3 linked regions of the Lonchura striata genome follow. The protein of the gene in region 2 interacts with the protein of the main gene of each other region in a pairwise test. Links are inferred from orthologs where the notes say so. Each region holds a gene or a part of one and is shown on either strand. Other genes may lie near its edges.

Region 1 (7,865 bases), on a different chromosome or scaffold from region 2:
TAACCCTGCTGGAATATGCAGAATTTAGGGCTAAAATCACAACATCTTTAAAATTTGATATGAAAAATACATTATAAAACAGCTTCAATTCTCTTAAGAATTTTTTGAGTCATTCCTGTAACTTTTTAGGGTTTGACAAAAGACTATTTTAGTTTCCTAATCACATAAGTACTTATCCTCTTCTTCCAAAAAGCACTGAGATCCATAGACAAAACAATCTTTTCTCAAAATCTGTACAGTTATTTCTTAAAAAATAGAAACAAAAAACAGAACAACAACAAAAATAGACATTTTAAGAAACAGATTCGTTATAATTGAGGATCACAAAAGGGAAAAATCACATTTGGGAAATTTCAGCTAATGAACTCAGACCACATCCAGCCTAAAATAGTGACAGAACATCATGCTACCTCCACATGGAATGACTTCTAACAGAAAGATTTCAGAGAGCAGGGAAAGAGCTTGAATGTATCTGCTGTGTTAATGCAGCTCAACTGAACAGGCTGTGGATCTGCTGAACAAAACTGGACATTTTCTGTGCAGTAAGCCTGAAAATACTGAGGATCCACTCAATAGTGACTAATATAAAGGTCAGGGTTCTCTGACTGCAGCTCTTGGCTTTGCAAACTCAGCCCCTGCAGTCCTCAGGGAACGCTGCCTCATGCTCACTCCATCTTGCTCTGGAATACAGTCACAGCAAACTCCTCAGGGAGCTGCACATTCCAGCTGAACCAAACACAGCTGGAGATCTTCCAGCACAGCAGCTGGAGTGATGGGAGAGCCCTCAGTGAGCTCTCAGAAGCCACGTTTTTAACTCAGGCCCACAGGGAGCTATGGCAGTAGTGGCAGCACAGTTCTGTACCCAGTATCCATCTGTAATTCCCACCTTGAGAACAGCAGCTGCACCCTGGATGTCCTGCTCAAACCCTGTATCAGGATGAAGTGTGGCACTTCTGAACTATTCTAAGCTGCTGATAAAGTCTCCTGGCTGCTTCAGCTAAGTGATAGAAATAAATGCAAATGCTACACACTGTGCCAGTCAAATTCATGTGACTGATTTCCAATTTTTTTATCACCTCCTGCTTGCTGCAGAGGTCTCAGGATGTTCAGGGGTTAAGTGGTACTGGCAAAGGAGGAACACCCTAAGACATTGTTGTCAGCAACTCTGGTGCCATTCTAAAAACATCACAAAACAAGCTGCATCAACACCAGTAGTGTGGAGCAGTACAGGAAAGGTATGGATCTATTGCAGCAGGTCCAGAGGCGCTCCAGAAAAATTAGCAGGGGCTAGAGCACCTCTCCTATAAGGGCAGGCTGAGAGTTGGGGTTATGCAGCCCAGAGAAGAGAAGCATCCAGGGAGACCTTATTGTGGCCTTTCTTTAAGGGAGAGTATAAGAATAAAAGGGAGAGATTTTTAGCAGAGGCTGTTGCAAACGGACAAGGGGTTATAGCTTTAAGTGAAAAGAGACCTGATGGTATAAACTAGGTATAAGGGGGACATTTTTAACAATGAGAGTGGTGAAACACTGGGACAGGTTGCCCAGTGAGGTGGTGGATGCCCTATTCCTGGAAACATTCAAGGTCAGGTTGCCCTAAGTAACCTGATCTAGCAGAAGGTGTCCTGCTCATGGACTTGATGACTTTTAAAGGTCTCTTCCAGCCCAAACCATTCTGTGATTCTGGCCTGCTCTTAGTGCCTGGGAGAAGACAACAGATGGATAAAGGAAAGGGCCCAAAATGCAGTCACGAGGGACAGGTACAGGAAGATTCAGGTTTGGGGGTTGTGAACAGACAACATTCAGGTTGCTCAGAGCTGCACTCAAACTGACCTTGAACACTTCCAGCAATGGGGTATTGACGTGTTGTACAGGCAGCCTTGACCACAACATATTTATAGTGTGAAAATTACAGATTCCCTTTCAGGTATTTTAACATTATTAAGAATGTTAAAATACACTGTTTCATTTCCCTCCTGAAGGCACCAGCTAGAGTGCTGTGCATGAATTCTGCCTTATCCCCTGCACTGCTTCACATTAGAGCGTGTTCAGTGAATTCCAAGCTATCCTTGATGAAAAATTGTGAAGTAGGGATGTCAACCTTTTGTTTTGTTTGCTGTGATAAAATAACCATCTTGTCTATTTAGCCTACATTAATAGTATTGGCAACCTTGAAACAGCACATCAGCACTGCTGTCACTGCCCTCTCTGGCAAAGCCTTTATGCTTACTTACATAGAGGGGATCTGTCTCTCCCTGTTTTGTTCTGTAGGAGCTGCACCAAGAGCTCAAACTGCCCCAAAGCAGTTGCCAGATCACAGAATCAGTGAGGCTGGAAAAGATCTCTGAGATCATCGAGTCCAACCTGTGACCGACCACCATGGTGTCACTTTTACCATGGCCCTGAGTGCCACATTGCCACATCCAGGACCACCCCTGTGTTACCCAGAGAGTGGCACTGAGTGCCATGTCCAGGATCACCAATGTGCCACCCAGACCGTGGCACTGAGTGCCACATCCAGGATCACCCCTGTATCACTTAGAGACACATCCAGGATCACCAATGTGCCACCCAGACCATGGCCCTGAGTGACACATCCAGGATCACCCCTGTATCACTTAGAGACACATCCAGGATCACCAATGTGCCCCCCAGACCGTGGCACTGAGTGCCACATCCAGGATCACCCCTGTATCACTTAGAGACACATCCAGGATCACCAATGTGCCACCCAGACCATGGCCCTGAGTGCCACATCCAGCCTCTCCTTAAACACCTGCAGGGACGGTGACTGCACCACCTCCCTGGGCAGCCCACCCAATGTCTAATCAGCCTTTCTGTTCAGAAACTCCTCCTGTTGTCCAGCCTAAACCTGCCCGGCGCAGTTTGGCCTCAGCGCCGCCGGGGCCGGGGGGCTCAGCGCACCCAGGGGCGCCTCGCCCCCACCCGCGGGGCCGGCAGGAACGGCCCCGCCGCGCCTGGCACGGCCCCCGCAGCCCCGGGGCAGGGCGGGAGGCGGCGGGAGGCGGCGGGAGGCGGCAGGAGGGCGGGCACTCACGCTGCGGCGGCGGCAGAAGCCGGGCAGCAGCGGCAGCGCCATGGCCGCCCCCCAACCGGCGCCGCCGCTGCGCCGGCACCGCGCCACGTGACGTCATGACGCCGTGACGTCACGGGGCGGGGCCAGGCGCGGGGCTCGTCCTGAACCCTCATCCCGAACCCTCGTCCTGAGCTGATCATCCCGAACTGATCATCATCCTGAACTCTCATCCCGAACCCTCGTCCTGAGCTGATCATCCCGAACTGATCATCATCCCGAACTGATCATCATCCCGAACCCTCATCCCGAACTGATCCTCATCCCGAACTGATCATCATCCCGAACCCTCATCCTGAACCCTCGTCCTGAGCTGATCATCCCGAACTGATCATCATCCCGAACTGATCATCATCCTGAACCCTCATCCCAAACCCTCATCCCGAACAGATCATCCCGAACTGATCATCATCCCGAACCCTCATCCCAAACTGATCATCCTGAACTGATCATCGTCCCAAACCCTCATCCCGAACTGATCATCCCGAACTGATCATCATCCTGAACCCTCATCCTGAACTGATCATCCCAAACTGATCATCCCAAACTGATCATCATCCCGAACCCTCATCCTGAACCCTCATCCTGAACTGATCATCGTCCTGAACCCTCATCCTGAACTGATCATCGTCCCAAACCCTCATCCCGAACTGATCATCCCGAACTGATCATCATCCTGAACCCTCATCCTGAACTGATCGTCCCGAACTGATCATCCCAAACTGATCATCATCCCGAACCCTCATCTCGAACTGATCATCCTGAACTGATCATCGTCCTGAACCCTCATCCCAAACTGATCATCCCGAACTGATCATCATTCTGAACCCTCATCCTGAACTGATCATCCGGAACTGATCATCATCCCAAACCCTCATCCCAAACTGATCATCCCGAACTGATCATCCCAAACTGATCATCCCAAACTGATCATCGTCTTGAACCCTCATCCTGAACTGATCATCCCAAACTGATCATCCCGAACTGATCTTCATCCTAAACCCTCATCCTGAACACTCATCCCGAACTGATCATCATCCTGAACCCTCATCCCAAACCCTCATCCCAAACCCTCATCCCAAACCCTCATCCCGAATGGCTCCATCCCAAACCCTCATCCTGAATCCTCATCCCAAACTCTCATCCCGAGCCCTCATCCCAAGCCCTCATCCCGGGATATGTCTCGGTGGGATGCAGGCAGGTCCCGGCTCTCCTCCACAGGACCCCCGGCCCCACCAAGTTCAGGGTGCCTCAGGGTGGGCCCAGAGTCAGCAGCAGCAAAGTGGAATTAAATCCATTCTTATTTTTATGTATATAATTAATTAATATGTAATAGAAATAGAAATAGATCTAAATAGATGTATATATAATTTATATAATTTTATTATAATATAAAACACATCCTATATAAATGTATCATAATAGATAAAATATATATAACATATATTTATATAATATTTCTTGTGCATCATTATTTACCGAATGCTAAATGCATATTAAATCCAACACTAGCATGCACTAAATAAATTTCTTCAATTTTTCAGGATTCATGGCCATTTTCATCATGAGAAATTTAGAGAAAAGGATGACCTTATGGCTCCCTACAGCTCCCTGACAGGAGGCTGTGGCTAGATGGGGGTCAGGCTCCTCTCCCAGGAAACAAGTGACAGGAGGAGAGAACATGGTCTAAACAGTGCCAGGAAGGGTGAGGCTGGACATCAGAAGGAATTTTTTCATGGAAAGGGTGATAAGACATCGGGATGGGCTGCCCAAGGAGGTGGCAGAGGTACTGTCCCTGGAAGCGTGTAAGGAAAGGCTGGACGTGGCACTCAGTGCCATGTTCTGGGTGACATGGTGTGATCCTGGATGTGTCACTCAGAGCCACTGTCTGGGTGACACAGGGGTGATCCTGGATGTGGCACTCAGAGCCACTGTCTAGGTGACACAGGGTTGTCTGATCAGAAGTCAGACTCAACCTCAGAGATCTTTTCCAGCCTCACTGGTTCTGTGGCAATTTACCTCACCTGGTGAGGAGCAGTGACTTCTCTGGACATGGTGCCCCCCAAATACCTCTGGAACTTGGGTCACAGATGGGACAAATCCCACCACATCTGCCATTTTCTGCACCAATTAATTTTTAATGTTTTTCATTTTGTGACTTTTACACAGCACATTTTACTCTGGGGCCCTGTCAGGCTAGGAGGAGGGGGAGGTGGGAGCTTTTTACAGCTTTTTATTTGGTTTTTTTTGCATTTTAGTCCACTGGGATAGGGAAACTGGGTCAGTGGGTTTCCACCTTCTGGTTTCCCAGCGCTGTACCACACATCTGCATTTGCATTTAGTGTGGAAAGGTAAACATTTAAAATATATTTTAATTGAAAATTAGAGAAACCATCATTTTAATCACATTCATTTCATACAGTGGGCGGTATTACGCAAAAATTTAAATTTCAAACAGAAAATACAGTGAGAGTTTCTCACGGATGGCTGGTGGGGGAAGGGTTGTTTTTCTTTAATGGAAGTAACATTTTCCTTGTTAATAAGGGAAGATGCATTCCAGAACACTTCCAAAGCCAGTTCCAGAGAACAGCAACCATGCTATGTTATGTTCCTCCATTTTACATAAAGATGTTCATTAATATGTTTTGGTTTTTTTTAATTAGACTGCTTTTTACAGAAAAATTACTTTATGGATAAAATAGCTTAAACTGAAATATTCCAGTTGTGATCTGCCATCACCCTGTCTCAGAGGAGCTGTACTTCATCTGTTGAATGTCCTTATTCTCCTGGATGGAGTGGATCTCCCCTGCCATATTTCATACTCTATGATGCATCAGACCATGAAATTCCCATAATGTGTCATCCCTCCTCCCCCAAACAGAGGCTCCTGGAACAGCATGGGAGATGTGCTCAGTCTGAGCAAGCCTGGGAGACTCCCCATCCAGTCCCCAGGGAGCATTTGTGCAGAATTCACTCTCTGAATTGGAATTTCGCCCAAAATATTCTGATTTCCAAAACTGTCATTTATGGGGAAATTATTTTGGGGTTGTTTTGTTGTTTTGGTTAGGAAGAAGGGAAGGGAAGGGAAGGGAAGGGAAGGGAAGGGAAGGGAAGGGAAGGGAAGGGAAGGGAAGGGAAGGGAAGGGAAGGGAAGGGAAGGGAAGGGAAGGGAAGGGAAGGGAAGGGAAGGGAAGGGAAGGGAAGGGAAGGGAAGGGAAGGGAAGGGAAGGGAAGGGAAGGGAAGGGAAGGGAAGGGAAGGGAAGGGAAGGGAAGGGAAGAATTGGTATCTCCAATTTTCTTGCTCATTGTGTAACAGGGTGGTTGAAATGTCTTAATATTCCCTCTAATATCAACAATAAACTGTTACTCCAAGGTTTCAGGCAGTACAGGCAGAGTACTGTGTGAAAAACATGCATGTTAAAAACATGCAAAGGAAACTGCAGCCCTGCTGGGGGAAAGTCAGTGAAATGCAGAGTATTAGTAGAGTCTGCTGCATTTCCAGCAGAAAATCCTGTGAATTGTCCCTAAACCCTCAAGTCAAATCTTTCTGCACCTCTGCCTCCCCCAGTAAAGAAGCCACAGGGGATGTGGAGAAGGGGAGCATCTTCCTTGTGCACCAAACCAGCACTGCAATTTGATGTTTTCTACCAGTCTTCAATCATTTTGTTTTCTTTCAAATGAGAAAAAAAAACAAACCCAAACTATAATCTACTTTGGAATACAGCTGCTTCTTTCTACATTACCTTCTCTCACATGTTTATCTTTTTTGTTCCTTGCTGTATTCACTCAGTAGTACAGACTGAGTGAAAACAAATTAATTTTAATGCCTTTTCTAGGAAAAATTAAAGTACTCCAGGAAAACCAATTTTGATAAAAGCTTTTTATTAAATGAAGATTGTTAATGACAACAGTAAGCAGTTGGCAGTAGTAAATTAACCATGTGTTCTGACTACTCTGCAGATGATAGTGGTGGATGTACATAGGGCTGCATTAGTTGTACAGTTCAAAGAAGAGAGAAAGCAGGAGGGGAGCTAAAGCTGGGGAAAACATGGAAAATGCTGTCTTTGTGATAAAAATACAGCTATTATATTCTCTTTGTGTTGGGATTGAGTTTTACTGGCAAACTTGAAATGAGTAAGAGAGTACAAATTGTAAATTGAGCTACCCAAAACTTTCCAAAGAGCCATAATTAAAAATAAAATATATTGGCTTTCACTCTGACCAAATGCTGCAGGCTCCAGGCTTAGTCCATTTGTCTGCGTGGAAAGCCAGGTCTGACCAAGTTCTGTCAGTTTAGAATAGGAAAATTTAGAAATAAGAGGAAACCAGGAAGGTTTAACTAAAATCAGCATAATTTAGTGTCTGTGAAAACATGTCTCTGCTTCTGTCATATGTGTGACTTATCCTTTTCCTGGGACTGGTTTCACAGGCCATGTTAAGTCTGGGCTGCCCAAAATCAGATTGTTCCCAGGCTTCCCAGTTTAATTATGACCCTGCGTGGATCATCACACAGCACACTAAAACCTGAACCAAAATTGAACTGTGGCATACACTTAATTAGGCACCAGATATTAAGAATGGAAAATTACTAACTATTAATACCTTCTTCCTTAGACTTGTCTTAGAAAAATATTGAATGCTGTAAGAGGCATTGCAGGAGTCACAGAGGGGATTGGGTTAGGGGAATCAAGCACAGCTCTGCCTGTGGCCAGCTCGTGCTGGGGGAAGGAGGGCAAACCCCAATGTGGCTTTTCATTGTGGTGCACTGTGGGT
Region 2 (8,378 bases):
GTGGAGGTGGCTCTGGCAGCTCAGTCCAGTGCTCCCAGGCAGCTCTGAGAGGCCACAGATGTGATGCCCAGCACGCAGCACTCCCTTGGAGCCCCCTCCTCAGGCAGGGCTGGCACTGGGATGGCAGGTACTGCTGCCACAGCTCACAGCTGGGAGCCTCTGCTCCCCAGCACAGGCAGAAGTGACCTCCAAGAAGCATGTGAAGATGAAGGGTGTGCTTTCATGCACTCACATGACATGTGGGACAACAGTTCAGGAGATAAAGCAGCTCAGCAGCACAGCCACAACTGCTCTGCATTAATCACATTGAGTCTCTCCCCCTAAAACATGAGAGGATATTTCACCTACAAGATGTACATACCTTTTTAAGAGGAACTGTGCTTCTGAACCAGTTATAGTCAGGAGAGACTTTAATCTCTCCCATGATGTTTAGAAAAATCTCAGTTTGGGTCAGCCTGAAAAGAGAGAGAATGAGAAATCAATAGCACAGTTTCACCGTGGGCCACTCTCAAAAGCTGTGCTATGTAAATAAAGCAGTGCAGGCTGATTTGCTCTTATCAGTTGATGGCACTACCTCTGACTCACACCAAGTTCACTTTTGCTCAAACCATGCAATTATTCTCCCAGGAGGCAGTCACCTGACTGCCTTACTGCACCAACCTAATTATGAAATGATGATGTTTCTGTAGAAGCATTCCCGTGTGACAGCTGCAGAGAAAGTCAATTGTGTTTCAGGCTGTAAGTGGCTAAAAAACCTAAAGCATGTTCTTGGTTTCTTTTAAATTGATAAGGCACTCCAAGTTTATAGCTAATAAATATTCATACAATTCACTCAGGAATTCACACCACAGACATTATTTCATGAACCCACTCAGTATTCAGGTCTCGTTTTTCCATCTGAGTATAACTGATCCAAACGAGTCCCAGAGCACATCAGGAACATCACCTGATCCGAGGCTTAATTTACAGAAAATCCTTGAAATTTTAATTCTATCCACATGGAAGCAGGCTCTTGTCAGGAGTTACCAATGAAGAAATACTTGAAGCACACCAATTAATACAGCACAAATTGATTCTGAGTTGGGTCCACATAGGAATGCTACTAATTCATTCCCCAGCCAGAATGTCCAAGCATACATAATGAGTATCTTATAATACTCCATTAATTAGTAATAAACACTGACGTAGCTCCAAGATTTAATTGTTTGGGTTTTTTTTTTAAGCAGCAAGAAACCATTAGCTTCCATTTATACAACAAATGTCATCAAACACTTCTGAAGTTTGCAGACTCAATAGCTTCACCCTGAAAGCCAGCTGCCTTGGGAGATTATTTTCATGAATTCACACACAGCACCGTGAAAAGACAAAAAGAAACTTTTGCGCTTGTTATTTAACAGTTGCCAAGTCTAAATCAATAGGTTTTGTTTCTTAATTCTTCATAAAATAAGACCTCGTTGTGTTCTGTGAGTCACTCCAATTCATTTGTCCCTGCAGGAGAGCTGCTGGTGAACAGCTTAACCAGTTTATGGGGTTACAGCTGGATTATCAGTGAGTTACAATTTCCTCATCTTTCAGTCTACATTTGCCATCTTCCAAGTGAAGAAAATATTAATTTTAAAAGGGAAAATACTTTCTAAACTACAGGACAAACACACACCTTCCACAGAGCACGTGCTACACCTCCCATGTACAAAGGTTTGAGATGGGTTGTTCAGCTGTGGCTGTTATTTCAAATTTGTGTGGTTTCACTTTGCTGCTTGCACCAACTGTTCTGCTCACTATCAAAGTCTGGCAGCAGGTAAAATTGCAGCAAGGGTAAAATGAATTTATTCCAATAACCTGCAAAGCAGAGCAGGTGCAAGGATGCTTTCCTGGGCTGGGGGCCTGCAGCCATTGGAGCGAGGAAACCACGGCTCACACTAATTCCTTTCTGTAACCACACATCAATGGCCTCCTAAAAGCTCTTCAGCAAACGACAGTGTGACAAAATTATGGCAGACAAATTGCAGGAAATGCCTTAAAACACACATTCTCTTGCCCTGGACCAAGAAGCAGAAGTCCTGGTCAGGGCCCCGCACGCTGGAGAGGGAGACTCTTCCTGCTGCAGAGGGTTGGCAGCCTCTTCCTGCCGGGATCACCTCGCTGCTTGTGCCACCTCAGTCTTGCAGCACCCTTGAGCGAATGGCTGGGGGCAGGGAGCACAGAGCTGTGCCATTACAGCTGATAAGGAAAAGGCAGCGTGCAGGTGGATTTTGTGCTGGCCCTGTACCTTGTCTGGTACCACAGCGAGTTTAGAGTCCATCCAAAACGCAAATTTTGAACTTCCCTGTTCACTTGTTACCACTCATGGAAGTGAGCCACTGGCCACTAACACCAGGGCTGATTGCCACCAGCTTTCTTCTGAAGGAGCATCTGAGATCACCACTCCTAAGGGCTGCCTTTCTTTCCACACAAGAAGAAACTTGTTTGTTCTCTTACTGAAATGGTTTTTTTTTTCTCCTTTGCACAGAAATGCAGCATTAAATTTGTACACACAAATAACTGACATTAACAACAGCTACATGTGATTTCCAGCCACAGAGAAGCTGAACCATGAACTCAAAACAGGAATTCAGCTACTGAAGGTAACTCAGACCACAAAGAGCCTGATGTTGGTCATGATCAGCCTCTAAACACACAAGTTTCATTTTTCGTAAAACCAAACAACCTGAAGAACTTCAAGCTTTTAAAAACAATTCCTCTGGAAGAATCACCTATGGACGTGCTCAGAGCATTTGGTAATAGTCTCTCTGTGAGTAATTTCACTACACTAATGACATACTCCATTCATTATTGATTTTACAAGACCATAAGAAGATTTATGGCTAACTGATGCGGCGGCAGCACCTTCCCCTCTGCCCCAGCGCTGCTCCCACCAACCCTGCCCCTGCTCCTTCCCCCTCCTCAACCACGTTTGGCTCCCCAGCTTTGCAGGGAGAAGGGGACAAACCCCCACACCCTCAGCACAGGCTGAGGCAGCCCCTTCCCCTGAGAGACCCCCCAGCAAACGGGGCCCCGGGGGCTTCGGGCTCCCTGCGGGGCCGCGTCCCGACCCTCGCCCATCCCTCCCTCCCTCCCTCAGGGGCCGCCCCGCTCGCCTCAGCGCCCACGCGGCCCCTCAGAGCTCCCTGCTCGGTGCGGGGCGCTAAGCTCGGCGGCAGGCCCGGGGACCCCCGCCTCTCCCATGGCTGCGGGGCGCTCACCGGCTGGCCGGGCCCGGGGACGAGGAGCGGCACCGGGAGCAGCAGCGGCACCGGGAGCTGCCAGCGGCACCGGGAGCTGCCAGCGGCCGCCGCCGCTGTCCCGCCCCGCCGGGAGCTCCCGCCGGCCGCCGCTTCCGGGTGCTGCGCCGTGCCGCCCACGTGACCGGGGCGGGGCGGAAGCGGCTCCGCCGCCATCGCTACCGAGGCGGAAGCCGCGTTAACTCAGGGAATGATTCGCCTTGGAAGGGAGTTTTTAAGAGTCGTTTTGTTCCAACCCCCCGCCCACGATCAGGGACTACCAGATCACGTTGCTCCGAGCCCCGTCTAACCTGTTCTTGAACACTTCCAGGGATGGGCCGCAGCTTCCCCGGCAATCTGTTCGCTGCGGGGCAGCTCAGGTTAATTGAGAAGAGCGACAGGTGATACCGAGTCATTCCTCTAATGAACAGCTGGAGTCAAGTAGCCCCGTTTAATTGCTATCTAATAAATAGGAGTTGAAGGTGAGCTGAAAGAAACAGACCTACAGTTGTCTGCAGTTATAGGTATATATAAGGTGTGTGTATATGCCTTATATATACCTATATATATCTATATATATATCAAAGGCGTGCCTAAAGAATACACTTAATTAGATAATATGTATTTTTACAATACTCTTCCCTGATTGAAGACCGCCCCACAACACACGGCATCATTTTCCATTCGCTCTCAAAATCGCTTCAGTTTGCCTGAAGTTTTTTTGCTCCTGTCTCAGCCTGATCTTTTCACGAAAGGCTTTAAAAAAAACACATTTCTGTGATCTAAGGGAAATATTCCTCTCGTATCGTATTTGGAAAGAGGAATTAAAGGGCGGAACCACCGGGAATAAACATACCTGGACGGTGTGCCCAGGACAGACCGAGAGAGCCGGGGGGGGCGCTGCCGATCGCAGACTACATTTCCCGCAATGCCACGCGGCGCCCACGCACCCATTCACTGTTGGGACTACACTTCCCATGCCACCCCGCGAGGCGAGTGCGTTCCCGCGGGGCGCGCCGCGGCGCGATGCCCGCTGGGATCTGCAGTCCCTCGGTGACGCGCGGTGCCGTCACGGAGGCGTTACCGGGGCGGGCGGGGCCGCACCGTCGCCAGCGAGGCCTTGTCGGCGGCGGGGGGAGCCGGCCGGGCCCGCGGCCGCTGCACCATGTCCGCCTGCCACAGCTGCGCCGCCGCCGCCCGCCTGTTCGGCTCCACGCTGCCCTCCGCCCGCAGAGGTAACCGCGCTCCGGCCGCCGCCTTCCCTCAGCGGGCCCGGCGCGCTCGGCCCTGAGGGAGCCCGGCCCCGCCGCTGCCCTTATCGCGCTGTGACAGCGCCGGGCACGGCGGCCTTTCCCCCCTTTTTCCCTCCTTTTTGCCGGTTGCTGGTGCGGTGCGGGTGGGGGTGAGGGCAGCCTTACGCGCTGTGAAGTATCGGAGAATTCGCCCTCGCTGTGGGGAAGTGGGATGCGAAAATAGGGTTTATTTCTACAGAAGTGATGCTCGGCAGCTGTCGGCCAGTGTGTGTTACTCTGCAGTGGGAGTAAATGTGTTTCATGGGCTTAAAAATGGCTTAATTGCCTTACTTAATTAAAAGCCTACCTGTGTGGTAGCCTAAACTTGAAATATTTCTCATAAAAATGCGTTTAGTTAGCAAAATTAATTATTTTCAACTTGGTAGAAGGACAAGACTGTGCCAGCTGCTCGCTGGAAGTTGAGGGCTGTGGGAGGTTATTTTTTTACTGTTTTTCCTTGTTTACCCTTTTTTTTGTATTCTTGGGGGTGCTGAGAGCAGACAAACAATGTGCTGCTTTGGGTGGAAAGCAGGGCACCCCCAAATAGTGCTGAAAAACATCTTTGTTGCCACTTTTGCAACAATATTTTCAATCACTCTACCCTCAGCAATAGCCTGGTGAGTCAGAGATCGTTTACTGCCCTTAAGAGGCGAGTTAACTCTTTGTAGGTGACTTTACATTTATATCTCGAATACCAGCCGTGCTGAAATGTTCTAACCTGTACTTTCAAATCCAGCCTGTCTGGCCCTACGCAATCCCTCTGAAACAATCAGCTTCAAAGCAAGCACTGTTTGAAATTCATTACAGAATTATCTTTTGTTAAGTTTGAGGGGTTTTTTGGTCAGAACTAAGATTCAAAAGGATTATGTAAAAGAGCAAATAAGAATAAAATGTAGATAGAGCTATACAATTATTTAACCACCAGCTTTCAATGAAAGTTGTTTAAAAATAAATGTATCTTACTTTAGTGTGTCTTTCATATTAAATTTGTATTAAATCTTGTCTTCTGCCAGGTGCTTTGTTTGCTGTTGCTGGTTGCTGCAAACTTGAGAGAGTTCAGAGTGCACAGATCAGTGAAATCAATCGAGTGTTATGTGGGACAGTTACAGTTTGTCACAATTTCCCTGTCACTTTCCTGAGCAGTAGATACCTCCAGGATCCCCCAGGCTTGCCCCAAAAGTCAGTATTTATTCTGTCAAGCATCAATTAAAGGTTAATAAGGTGTTAAGGAGCTTCCCATCATTTCTTAATGCGCCTGGATTGGTTCCATGGCTGCCAGGGACAAATCTTTTGAAGTTGGTGCTCCGAAAAAAAAACATCACCTGAGCCACCCTGCCAGGTGTGTAAGCACATCCTGCCAGCTGTTACATACTGGAACATTTATCAGAGTCTGGATCCATCAGCAGCAGCTGCCAGGCATTGAGCTGGAATGTTGATTTCCCTTGGAAATCTCCCTCTGGGCTTATTGACTCAAGGAAGTAGTGGTGATAACTTTCTTATTGCTTCACTGTGGAATTATACCATGATATTTTGTCCAAAAACACCTCTCAGACCTCACAATAAGCACACGCTTAGCCACCAGCTGACGTAGCAGTATTAGGATGTTTTTCCCCTGGTTTAGGCTTCACAGCTCAGTAGTCAGTGCTGTGTAAGGTTTCATAGTTCATCCCATACAGTTCTCAGTGCATTTTCTGTCTCACAAGAGCATTCTGAATTAAAATGAGGACTGAAATGTTTCAGCTTTTGTGTTAGTGCTTCAGCCTTTCTCCACAGGTCAAATCCCCCCGTGTTACTTGTGTGACTCTAGGTTTTGTTCCAGGGAGGAGAGGTGGTCATTGTTTCATTTTTAAGGGGTCTTTTCTCAGTTTCTAAGCTGCTCAGAACAACTATTGCATTGTAAACACTCACCAAAGCTTGTTCTTTACTGACAAGTGCACTTGGCACACAGAGTTGTCAGAGTTCTCTGCACATTCAGTTAAAAAATACAACTGCTTCTGAGAGCCAGCCAGTGTTTTCAAGTTTTCTGTGTTGTTTTTATAGCTTACCCTCTGTAATCTAAAATGTGTTGCAATGGCACTCAGCAGAGGAATTTAAAATGGGGAAGCTCATTGATTGTTATTCCTCCCTCACGTTTACAGACAGAAGCAATGCTGTAAAGAGATTTTTAAAAGGTTAATTTTTAGTCATGTTAAAAATAGTACAAGTCATCTTCAGGTTAAGGAATCTTAAGCAGCATGTAAGTTAATAAACCAGCTTCAAATCTCATTTGACTGTCATCTTTATTGTGACTTTGAAGAGGCCTGTAAGAGTTTTCCTGGTAAATTAAGTTCCTTCTTCTTTATTTTTCTCCCTTCTTATTATAGTAACAAGGTGAATTTTCAGAGTATCCTCTTTCAGCTAAGCTCCCATCTCTTGGTTGTTGCTTCTTCTTTCAGAGCAAATGAGCTGTGCTTCTCTTGCCATTCCTAATTTTTCTTTTTTATTTTTGAAGAGTTTCTGGATTTTTCCATAGGATTCTCTTATCCTTATAACTATGTGTTGTCAGCAAGTCTGTAGTTGCCATTGTTGCTCTATAGCTCTGCTGTCAGTAGAGCACAGAGTCCTGATCAAAACCAGCGAGCCAAGTGAGAAATTTGCCACTTGAAATGCGAGAGATGAGATACAGATTCCAGGCTGTTGTTGATGTTGAAATCACAAGCACAACATAGGTTGGCTCACGTCATGCCCTGCCATGAAATGCAATCCTGCCCGTGTTGCAAGAGGAGGAAAAGGCTGTTTAGTTTCTCAGTGAGGGTTTTTTTCATATTGGCAATAAAATATTTTAGCAAAGTTAAGATTACGCTGAGCTTGCCGGTGCCGGCCGTCGGTGAGTGCCAAATGGGACACGGCTGCTCAGTTTTCCTCAGCACAATTCTTGGTGCCAAGAGGTGCCTCAAATTCCTGGAAACTAATTTTTAATGGAGTTCCCAAGTGAAAGCCAAATCCAGACGTGCAGTCATTGAGTCTGAAACACCTAATCTTTGCATAATAAAGAGACTCTTCAAAAGTTTCTCTCGGGGAGTTGAATTATTTCACAATAGAAGCTGTAAGTCGATTGTGGTTATCATTCTGAGGATCAGTTTCATAACTGAGATGTTCCCTATTTCATGCCACAACAGGACTCTCAGTTGTCTGATGTTAGAGGACCTGAAATTATTTTGGGGTCTTTTTTGGACAACCAAAGTAACTTTCAACAAGGTAAACATTAAGGTGGTAAAGATCATCTATTTTGGATAATTAAAATCTGTATGTTCAGAGCTGAATTCTGTTGCCAAAATCTTTAAGCTGCACTTAAAGTAAATCAGTTCTGAGATTTGGTGGCAATGGCATTAAAACAGGAGTATTTTAGTATTTACATTTTTTTCTTTTTTTTTTTTTTTTTTTTTTTTTTTAGGTATTACTTGTGGTCGTACACGCATCCCTGTTTTAGGAAAACTTGGGACTTTTGAAACTTGTTCTCTAAAACGAATTCCTCTTAGAAACTTTTCAGAAACACCAGCATATTTTGCTTCAAAGGATGGTGCAAGCAAGGATGGTTCTGGAGATGGAAGCAAGGTAATTTCCACACACTGGGGGTTTCAGTAGTTTATGTAAAATGTTCCTTGCATTTCTATTTTTTGCTTAAAATTAATCTTGAAATTTTGGCCAACTCCTGACATTTCTAGTCCTTCAAATTGATGCAACTGGCAGTGAAGAAAAAATAAACTGTATTGGGAATTTTTTAGGAGATAAAGCTTGTAAACATCCCACAATGCTTTTCCCAGTTTTATAGCTCTTTTTGTTCAGT
Region 3 (7,364 bases), on a different chromosome or scaffold from region 2:
GAAGGACAATTCTGTCTTACTACAAAACAGAGCGGTGAACCACCCAACTGAAAATTGCAGGCAGCCCCAAGCCAGACTGAAGTTAGAGGGTACAAACCCCACTGCAACTCTCTGTGGGGCCACTCCTGCTTCTCCTTGCCCAGTGGCTCAGCTCAGCATTCCCTGCTCACCCAGTCTGACCAAAGCCACAGGGGCAGGTGGGGGAAGCCTGTTCCTCTCTCCACAGGAACTGTGCAGCTGCCAGTGGAGGAGCCTGGGCATGAACAGGCTTGATGCTACAGCTCATGGGGACTTTAAGGAATGAAGGGCATTTTGGGACTGCTACAAGTAGTCTCAGCTATCTGTACTGGCACAGGAATACCAGGGACTGGCTGACAGAGCCCCACAAGCCTTTCAAAGGTGTTTTCTTTTCTCCAAGATCTTCATTTCCCACTGATCTCACCCTTGCCCAGCAGGGAGGTGTCCAAAACGGAGTTCAACAGAGGACCAAATCCAATTCTCCTTCTTTGGGTGCACAGACTGCAACCAGGTTTGCACATTCAAACCCTCAGGCAAAAACCAGCACAGAGCCATGCCATGACTGGGTGAGTGCAGATGTCTTCCCTCACTTTACCCAACCCTCTTTCCAAAATCCAGCTGGGTCCCCATCTCGTTACCAGACTGTGTCTGTCTCCAGGAACTTCACAGCTGCTCGGATCAGCTGCGTTTTGTTTCGCTGCGTGGGATTGTCCAGCGCCGTGTTGCACAGAGTGGTCTGGGGATAAAAGCAGTTGAAACTGCTGTTATTCCAGGCTTGAAAAAGCAGCAACTTCCATGGTACAATGCCAAGAAGAAGCAGAGGGATCTGTGGCAAATGATCTGAGGGGTGCAGGGTTACAAAATGGCTAATGTAATAAGTGTCTTCTCAAATCTTTCAGAATCCCTGGAAGCAGCTTATTAAGCAGCAGGGAAGAGGGGCCAAGGATTGCTCCAGAGCTCAGTTTCCTCCTGCCCCTAACTATTCCAAATAACACTGTCCAGCCCCTTCTCAAGTTCCCCTAAGTGACACAGATTCCCTCTAGACAGGCACCTGGCCAGCCCAGAGAAAGTCCTTTCTGCTCATTAGGAGCAGGACAACCTGCTGCCTCCACATTCTGCATTTGGAGGTCTCAGCACTCCACCCTGCCATGCTCACCAGGTGCATTGTGTAGAACTTGATGGTGTCTTTCTGGGAATCCCACTCTGTTGCCACTGCAATGGCCAAGGCCTCGCTGGGGACAGTGAAGAGTTTGGCCTGGGGCGTTTTCAGCTTTCGGTGGTCCAGGTTTATTTCAAAGCCTCCTGGGGAATCAGAGTAGAAATCCTGGGGAATCAAAGAGGAGCAGGCACTAAGGAACAACAGACAACCCCACAGGAGGAGCAGATTCAAAGTTATAGAGCTGAGAGGAGCAAGAGACCAGGAACACTCAGGTTTCCCACCATCACTTGGATACACTTGGTCCTGGAAGCTGGTTCCCACCATGCAGCTTTGCTGTAGATGAGGAGGGGGCACAGCAGCTGGTGACAAACCTGCCACTGACACAGCTTGGGCTGCAGGTGCTGATGTGGGGTGGGGTGATGACACCTCTCCTAGGGATCAGCTCCCCCATCCCATCCCATCGGCCATACTCACCTTCCCCCTGCGAGATGCTCACGTTCTGGTAGAACCTCTTCCTCTCTAGGGACAGAAACAGAAGGCAAAGAGAACATTCAGAGGGCAAACAGAGAATGTTCAATGCCTTCCCCTGCTCCCCATCACAGCTCAGAACAGACAGAGCTTTGCTGCTGTCGACGTGGTAACAAAAATCCAGCCCTTCTTCCACAGTTTCCAAGCTGTGAGCTGCAGTGAGCTCCCCTCAGCAGGGAGGCACCAGGAGCAACGAGAACCAGCTCCAATCCTGCCAGGCTGGGGGCTCAGCTGCCTCAGAGTGTGGCAGGGCTGGTTTCCCAAGCAGGCCTGTCCCACCTCTCCTCAGTTCTGCTTCAGGGTCAACCTTTCCAGATTCTACAATTACAGTTACACTGGATAAATTAACCCTCAAAGGACACTGCAGCCCAAACATCTCAGTCCAGCTCAGGAATATACCTGTTCCACCAACAAGATGAGCCTGAGGAAACTTCAGGTCTCATTTTAGGAGCAGCATCCTTTGCTACCAGCACTCCTACCGCCGTGAGAGCAGGATTACACCCATCCCAAAGGCTCACACCCCTCCCACAAGGCAGGAAGAATCCACGAGCCATTCCCCTGACAACAGCAAGCAGGCTGTAAATCCCAAACCCATAAACCTGTCTGGTGAAGGACACAGCAAACAGGCCAGGCCGCGGGTCTGCTATTCCAGGCTAAAACCAGCACATTCCCACTGAGGAAATAGAAGGATTTGCTCAGGCTCGGCGACCTGTGAGCTTTGGGGCCTCAGGCACAGTTCTAAAAACAGATTAAAGTGTGTGTACCCCAGAGGAGCCCCGAGGCTCATCAGTGACTCCCAAAACTTTGTCATGAGTCACCGCGACGCTGCAGCCTCACCTCCGACAAAATGAGATTAATTTTATTGTTTTTAAACCCACGTGATGGGATACGTGAGCCAGAACATACCTGAACCCCCTGGTCTGAGTCCCATTCCCTCAAAATCCCTAAAACCCAACAAAACACAAAAACAAGTGTAACAAACTGGTTCAGCGAGGGCTCGGCCGTGCTGCCAGCGAACCCTGCCCGCTCCAAGGACAGGCTAACACCAGGGAAAGGGCGCCGGGGACAACTCCAGCACCGGGGCCGTGCTAATCCCCGCCCTGCCCTGGGTGACCCCGGCATGAGGGTCCCCGGGGGAGGATCCCCCTCCCCAAACGCGGCTCCCTCACCTGTCGGCGGGGCATAGGCCCGGCGCCCACATGACCCCACCGGGCCGCTCCCAGCATCTGCAGGAGGAGTTCTGGGGAGCCGAGCGGGCTGGGAACGAGCCCACCACAGCCGGCGACAGCCGCGCCACATCGCGCCAGACGACACCACCACGACCACCCCGTCCGCACCGCGCTCAGCGCCGCTCCCTGGGCGCCGCCATCTTGCCGCCGGCCGCAACCAATCCGCGCCGCCTCCATTTAAAAAGAAACTACATTTCCCAGCAGCGCCGGGTGGCACCGCAACCAATCAACGCCCGAGCGTCGTTGCCAGCAGCCAATCAGAGCTAAGGGACGCCCCTCAGGCACGCGCGCCGAGGCGCTGCCAGGAGGCCCCGACCCGGCGGCGGCGGCGGCGTGAGGGAGCGGAGCGGAGCGGGCGGCGTCCCCCCGGCCGCAACCCCGGCCCCGGCCACGCTGGCGCCCGGGGACCCTCCCGAGATGCCGGTTCGGAGCGAGAGGCACCGCAGTGGAGGGGCGGGAGGTTCATCCTCCTCCCCTGCTACCGGAGCGGCCGCCAGCAGCTTAGTACCGCCACCCCCCATCAACACGGCGCAGCCTGGAGTGGCCACTTCGCTTCTTTACAGCGGGGCCAAGTTCCGCGGGCAGCAGCGCAGCAAAGGCAACGCTTACGAGGTGGAGGTCGTCATGCAGGTGAGGGGGAACGGCGTGGCGAGCCTGGTTTTGGCAGGGTGGGAATGGCCACCGCGGCCTGAGGCGAGACGGGGGAACCCCGGCTCGCCTCAGGTCGCGGTGGCCATTCCCACCCTGCCAGCCCCTTGTGACAGCACCCGCATCACCCTACCCCTCTATATTAGAAGGAATTTGTCGCAGAAAATATCACTCTAAACATCAGAATATCCTACTTAATGATGTGGTGGAATCACCATCCCTGGAGGTGTTGGAGGAAAGACTGGACGTGGCACTTAGTGCTGGTGAATCAGTCACGGGATGAGCTCAGCTCTTTTCCGACCTCAGTGGTTCTGTGATGATTCTAAGCTTTTTATGGTCATTTCTCCACGTTTCTGGTGGGATTTGTGCCCTGCTGCACGCTGCCACCTCGCAGGGGCTGGTTGTGGTTTTGTGTTTAAAAACGCTGCTTTTTTTGTCGAAAACGTGGCTGATTTGCATGTGTCAGCTGAAGAGAAGGGGGCTGCCTGCTCTCCCTGTGCTGAGCACGGGGAAACGTTGCTGTCCTTTGATCACAGGTGGAGAAGATCCATCTTCTCACGGGTGGAGGTTTGTACTTCCCTGAATAACTCACTCTAGATCTCAGAGAAAAGAAAAAACCCCTTGGAAAATCCCTGCTTTTAAAGGAGCAGGCAAATCCTTGCCTAATTTCTGCACAGCACAGGCAGAGAGATGCAGCCTGATAACTCAAAATGCAGGTGGCATAAAAGCTTTAAATTTAGGAGAAAGGCTTGTAAAATGCCGGGGGTGTGGGTGATTCTTCCAGGGATGCTTTTTCTTGGAGAATACTGTGAATCAGATCCCTTCCTGCTGGAAAGGGGATTTGCTTCCTGCTGCAGAGTTCTTGGGAGCAGGCCTGGGATGTGGAGGCTGCCAGAGGTGAGCTGGGCACCTGCAAATGATCTTTCCAGGTGGTTCCCATCATGGAAAAGGGCTGTGAATATTGGGCAGTGGGTACCAGCTGGAGCTGAAATTATCTTTGGAAGGGTTAGAAACTGCTTTGGGTCAAGCATGCACCTTCATGCCTATTTTTATGGTTGGACTTTGCACTCTTTTCCAGCATGTGGATATGGAAAACTCCTATCTCTGTGGATACTTGAAGATTAAAGGCCTTACAGAGGTGAGTGTTAACTGCAAAACAGCACAAAAAGGGGCTCTGTGAAGGCTTTTTTTTTTTTTTTTCCTGGTGGAGTGAGAGAAGCTGCTGCCAGAAATAGGAAGCGGAGGGTGTGAGCATGGTGTAGATTTGATCAAAGGGGATCAGCTGGGGAGTGGTGCTGGCTGTAAATGCCACAGGTGATCATCCAGCTGGGAGCTCCATGGAATCATTTACAGTTGGAAAAGCCCTCTGAAATCATTGAGTCCAACCACTGACCCAGGACCCAGCCAGGTCCACCACTTCCCTGGGCAGCCTGTTCCAATGTTTAACCACTCTTTTAAATTGTTTTTAATATCCAATCTAAACCTCCCTTAGTGCAATTTAAGGACATTTCTTCTTGTCCTGTCCCTTGTTCCCTGGGAGCAGAGCATGACCCCCACCTCGCAGCCCCCTCAGCTGCTTATGTTCCAAATCCTTCCCTGCAGCCCAGCTCTGATGTGGCTCCTGGCTTCATAAAATGAAGAGAGAGGCAGAGAAAGGCTGGAATAAGAGCGTGGAAGAGTCAGCTTGGAGAGGTGTGGGGCAGGATGAGGGATGGGAGCAGCAGCCTCAGATGGCCCAATCTCCCTGCGAGATGCTTTTTGCTGAGTGCATGGAGCTTTGTCTGCTCTTGAGTTTGTGCCTGTAGGTGACTATTGTGACCCCACCTTTGTCTCCCCTCTGCCAGGAGTACCCAACCCTCACCACGTTCTTCGAGGGCGAGATAATCAGTAAGAAACACCCGTTCCTAACGCGCAAGTGGGATGCCGACGAAGACGTGGATCGTAAACACTGGGTAAATAAATCTGGGGGCACAGGGTGGCTCTGGGCTGCTGGTCTGGGGGAGAGGGGCAGTGTGTGCCCATGCAAGAGCTGGCAGAAAGGCCTGGAGACCTTTTTGCTGTCTCCTTCCTTTTCCCCTGGGATCTTTATTTATAAAGGTCTCTTCAGCAAACTGTGATCTGTGATGAGGGAAGGGATGTTTTGTTTTCTACTTGTTTGCCTCGGGGTTGGGAGGAAGCAGGAGCAATCCCTGTCTCTTGATCCCCTAAGAGAACACAGTAATTAGTTTTGGAGATTTATTACAAAATGGAATGGAAAAGGGGAAAGGGATCCCACAAGCACAGGCAGAGTAGTTGGTACCTGTGTCCCTGCTCAGGGCAGGGTGTACCTGTTGCTGTGTTGTGAGGCCACAGCAGCCCACCTGATCACCCCCCCGCCCTTGACCTTGGCTGTTGTTTGCCAAGCTTTGATGTTTGTTGTATTTCTGTCAAAATATCCTCCTCTGGAAGTACAGGAGCTTCTTCAGCCAGGCTGGATATTGCTGTGAGTGTCAGTAGATTTCCCTCCTAAACAGCAGCTGGTACTAGAAGTTCTATTCCTGGAATAAACATCCTGAGCTGTTTTTTTGTTGTTGTTTGTTTTGTTTCAGGGAAAGTTCCAAGCTTTTTACCAGTATGCAAAAACATTTAACTCTGATGACTTTGATTATGAAGATCTAAAAAATGGGGACTATGTCTTCATGAGATGGAAGGTAAACCCTGCCTGTCTCCTTCTCTGCTGAGCTGCTTGCAAGGCACTGACAGAAACTTGAGATGTCTCAGAGCTTTTCCAGCTATGATGGTTTAATAGAAGATCTCACCCTGCCAACCCCAAAACCCACTGTACTTGCAAGTTCCAGTATGACTCTTGTCTAGCCAGCTAATTGTGTCCTTAAGGACTGCAGTCATGGCTAAAAACACAACAGGAAAATCTTGCTTGGTGATCCTGCAGAGGATGAGAGAATTGATGCCTCCAGTCCCTGTGTGGGGCCTGTGTTTGATGTTCTGGCCAGTCTGCAGCTCCATTCTTCAGCTGAGATCATCACAGAGTCACCATAGACTGCTTTGGGTTGGAAGGAACCTTAAAGCTCATCTTGTTCCATCCTCCTGCCTATGGCAGGGACACATCCCATTATCCCAGGTTGCTCCAAGTCCTTTCCTTGGACAGTTCCAGGGATCATGGGGTACCCACAGTTTTTCTGGGTACTGTGTGCCAGGGCCTCCCCACCTTCACAGGGAAAAATGTCTTTTCCAATATCCCATCTAACCCTGCCCTCTGGCAGTGGGTAGCCTTTCCCTCTCTTCCTGTCACTCCATGTCCTTGGCTGGAAAGTTTCCCTCCAGTTCTCCCATAAGCTCCCATAGGTGTTGAAAAGCTGCAGTGAGAACTCCCTGGAGCCTTCTCTTCATTCTCAGGCTCTGACTCCGAGTTTTGCAATGGGCTTCTGGCTTGCAGGGGACAGGTGTTGAAACTGATCTCTTGCACTCTCAAAACTCATTCTGTTCTCAGTTTTCTGCTTCCCTGTGAGGTCCCTGCAGTGGCGGGTGGTGAGGGGACACTGGTCTCTGCCCTGGGCTGCTGAGAGTGAGGGAGTACTCAGCCAGGAATGTCCTCATGTTAGTGGGTGCCAGTATTTGGTTTGGGAGGGCAGATTAGGGTGGGGTGGGGCTGTATTTGACCAACATATTAAGATGCAGCCTATGTTTTGAATGCAGGAGCAGTTCCTAGTCCCAGATCACACCATCAAGGACATCAGTGGTGCTTCCTTTGCTGGTTTCTATTACATCTGCTTCCAGAAGTCAGC

What was found. The genes of interacting proteins can lie anywhere in the genome.
Region 1: the proteins of SPG21 (region 2) and EFHC2 interact in binary tests that used the Homo sapiens proteins (3 or more experiments, as listed by UniProt). The two-hybrid records come from large-scale screens. The link is inferred for Lonchura striata from reciprocal best matches to the Homo sapiens genes SPG21 and EFHC2.
Region 3: the proteins of SPG21 (region 2) and ATPAF2 interact in binary tests that used the Homo sapiens proteins (3 or more experiments, as listed by UniProt). The two-hybrid records come from large-scale screens. The link is inferred for Lonchura striata from reciprocal best matches to the Homo sapiens genes SPG21 and ATPAF2.

What each region holds. Positions count from the first base shown.
Region 1 is NC_134604.1:110,733,999-110,741,863, forward strand, and holds the start of EFHC2 (EF-hand domain-containing family member C2), read right to left. Parts: upstream 3,098-7,865; coding exon 3,056-3,097; intron 1-3,055. UniProt on the Homo sapiens protein: Microtubule inner protein (MIP) part of the dynein-decorated doublet microtubules (DMTs) in cilia axoneme, which is required for motile cilia beating.
Region 2 is NC_134613.1:21,912,010-21,920,387, forward strand, and holds the start of SPG21 (maspardin), read right to left. Parts: upstream 3,335-8,378; 5' UTR 3,243-3,334; intron 456-3,242; 5' UTR 425-455; coding exon 362-424; intron 1-361. Other genes in the region: CLPX (ATP-dependent clpX-like chaperone, mitochondrial), read left to right, coding at 4,426-4,495, 7,986-8,146. UniProt on the Homo sapiens protein: May play a role as a negative regulatory factor in CD4-dependent T-cell activation.
Region 3 is NC_134618.1:15,651,508-15,658,871, forward strand, and holds the start of ATPAF2 (ATP synthase mitochondrial F1 complex assembly factor 2), read right to left. Parts: upstream 3,098-7,364; 5' UTR 3,005-3,097; coding exon 2,875-3,004; intron 1,697-2,874; coding exon 1,652-1,696; intron 1,321-1,651; coding exon 1,175-1,320; intron 755-1,174; coding exon 657-754; intron 1-656. Other genes in the region: GID4 (glucose-induced degradation protein 4 homolog), read left to right, coding at 3,352-3,564, 4,661-4,720, 5,427-5,534, 6,171-6,272, 7,276-7,364. UniProt on the Homo sapiens protein: Plays a role in the assembly of the F1 component of the mitochondrial ATP synthase (ATPase).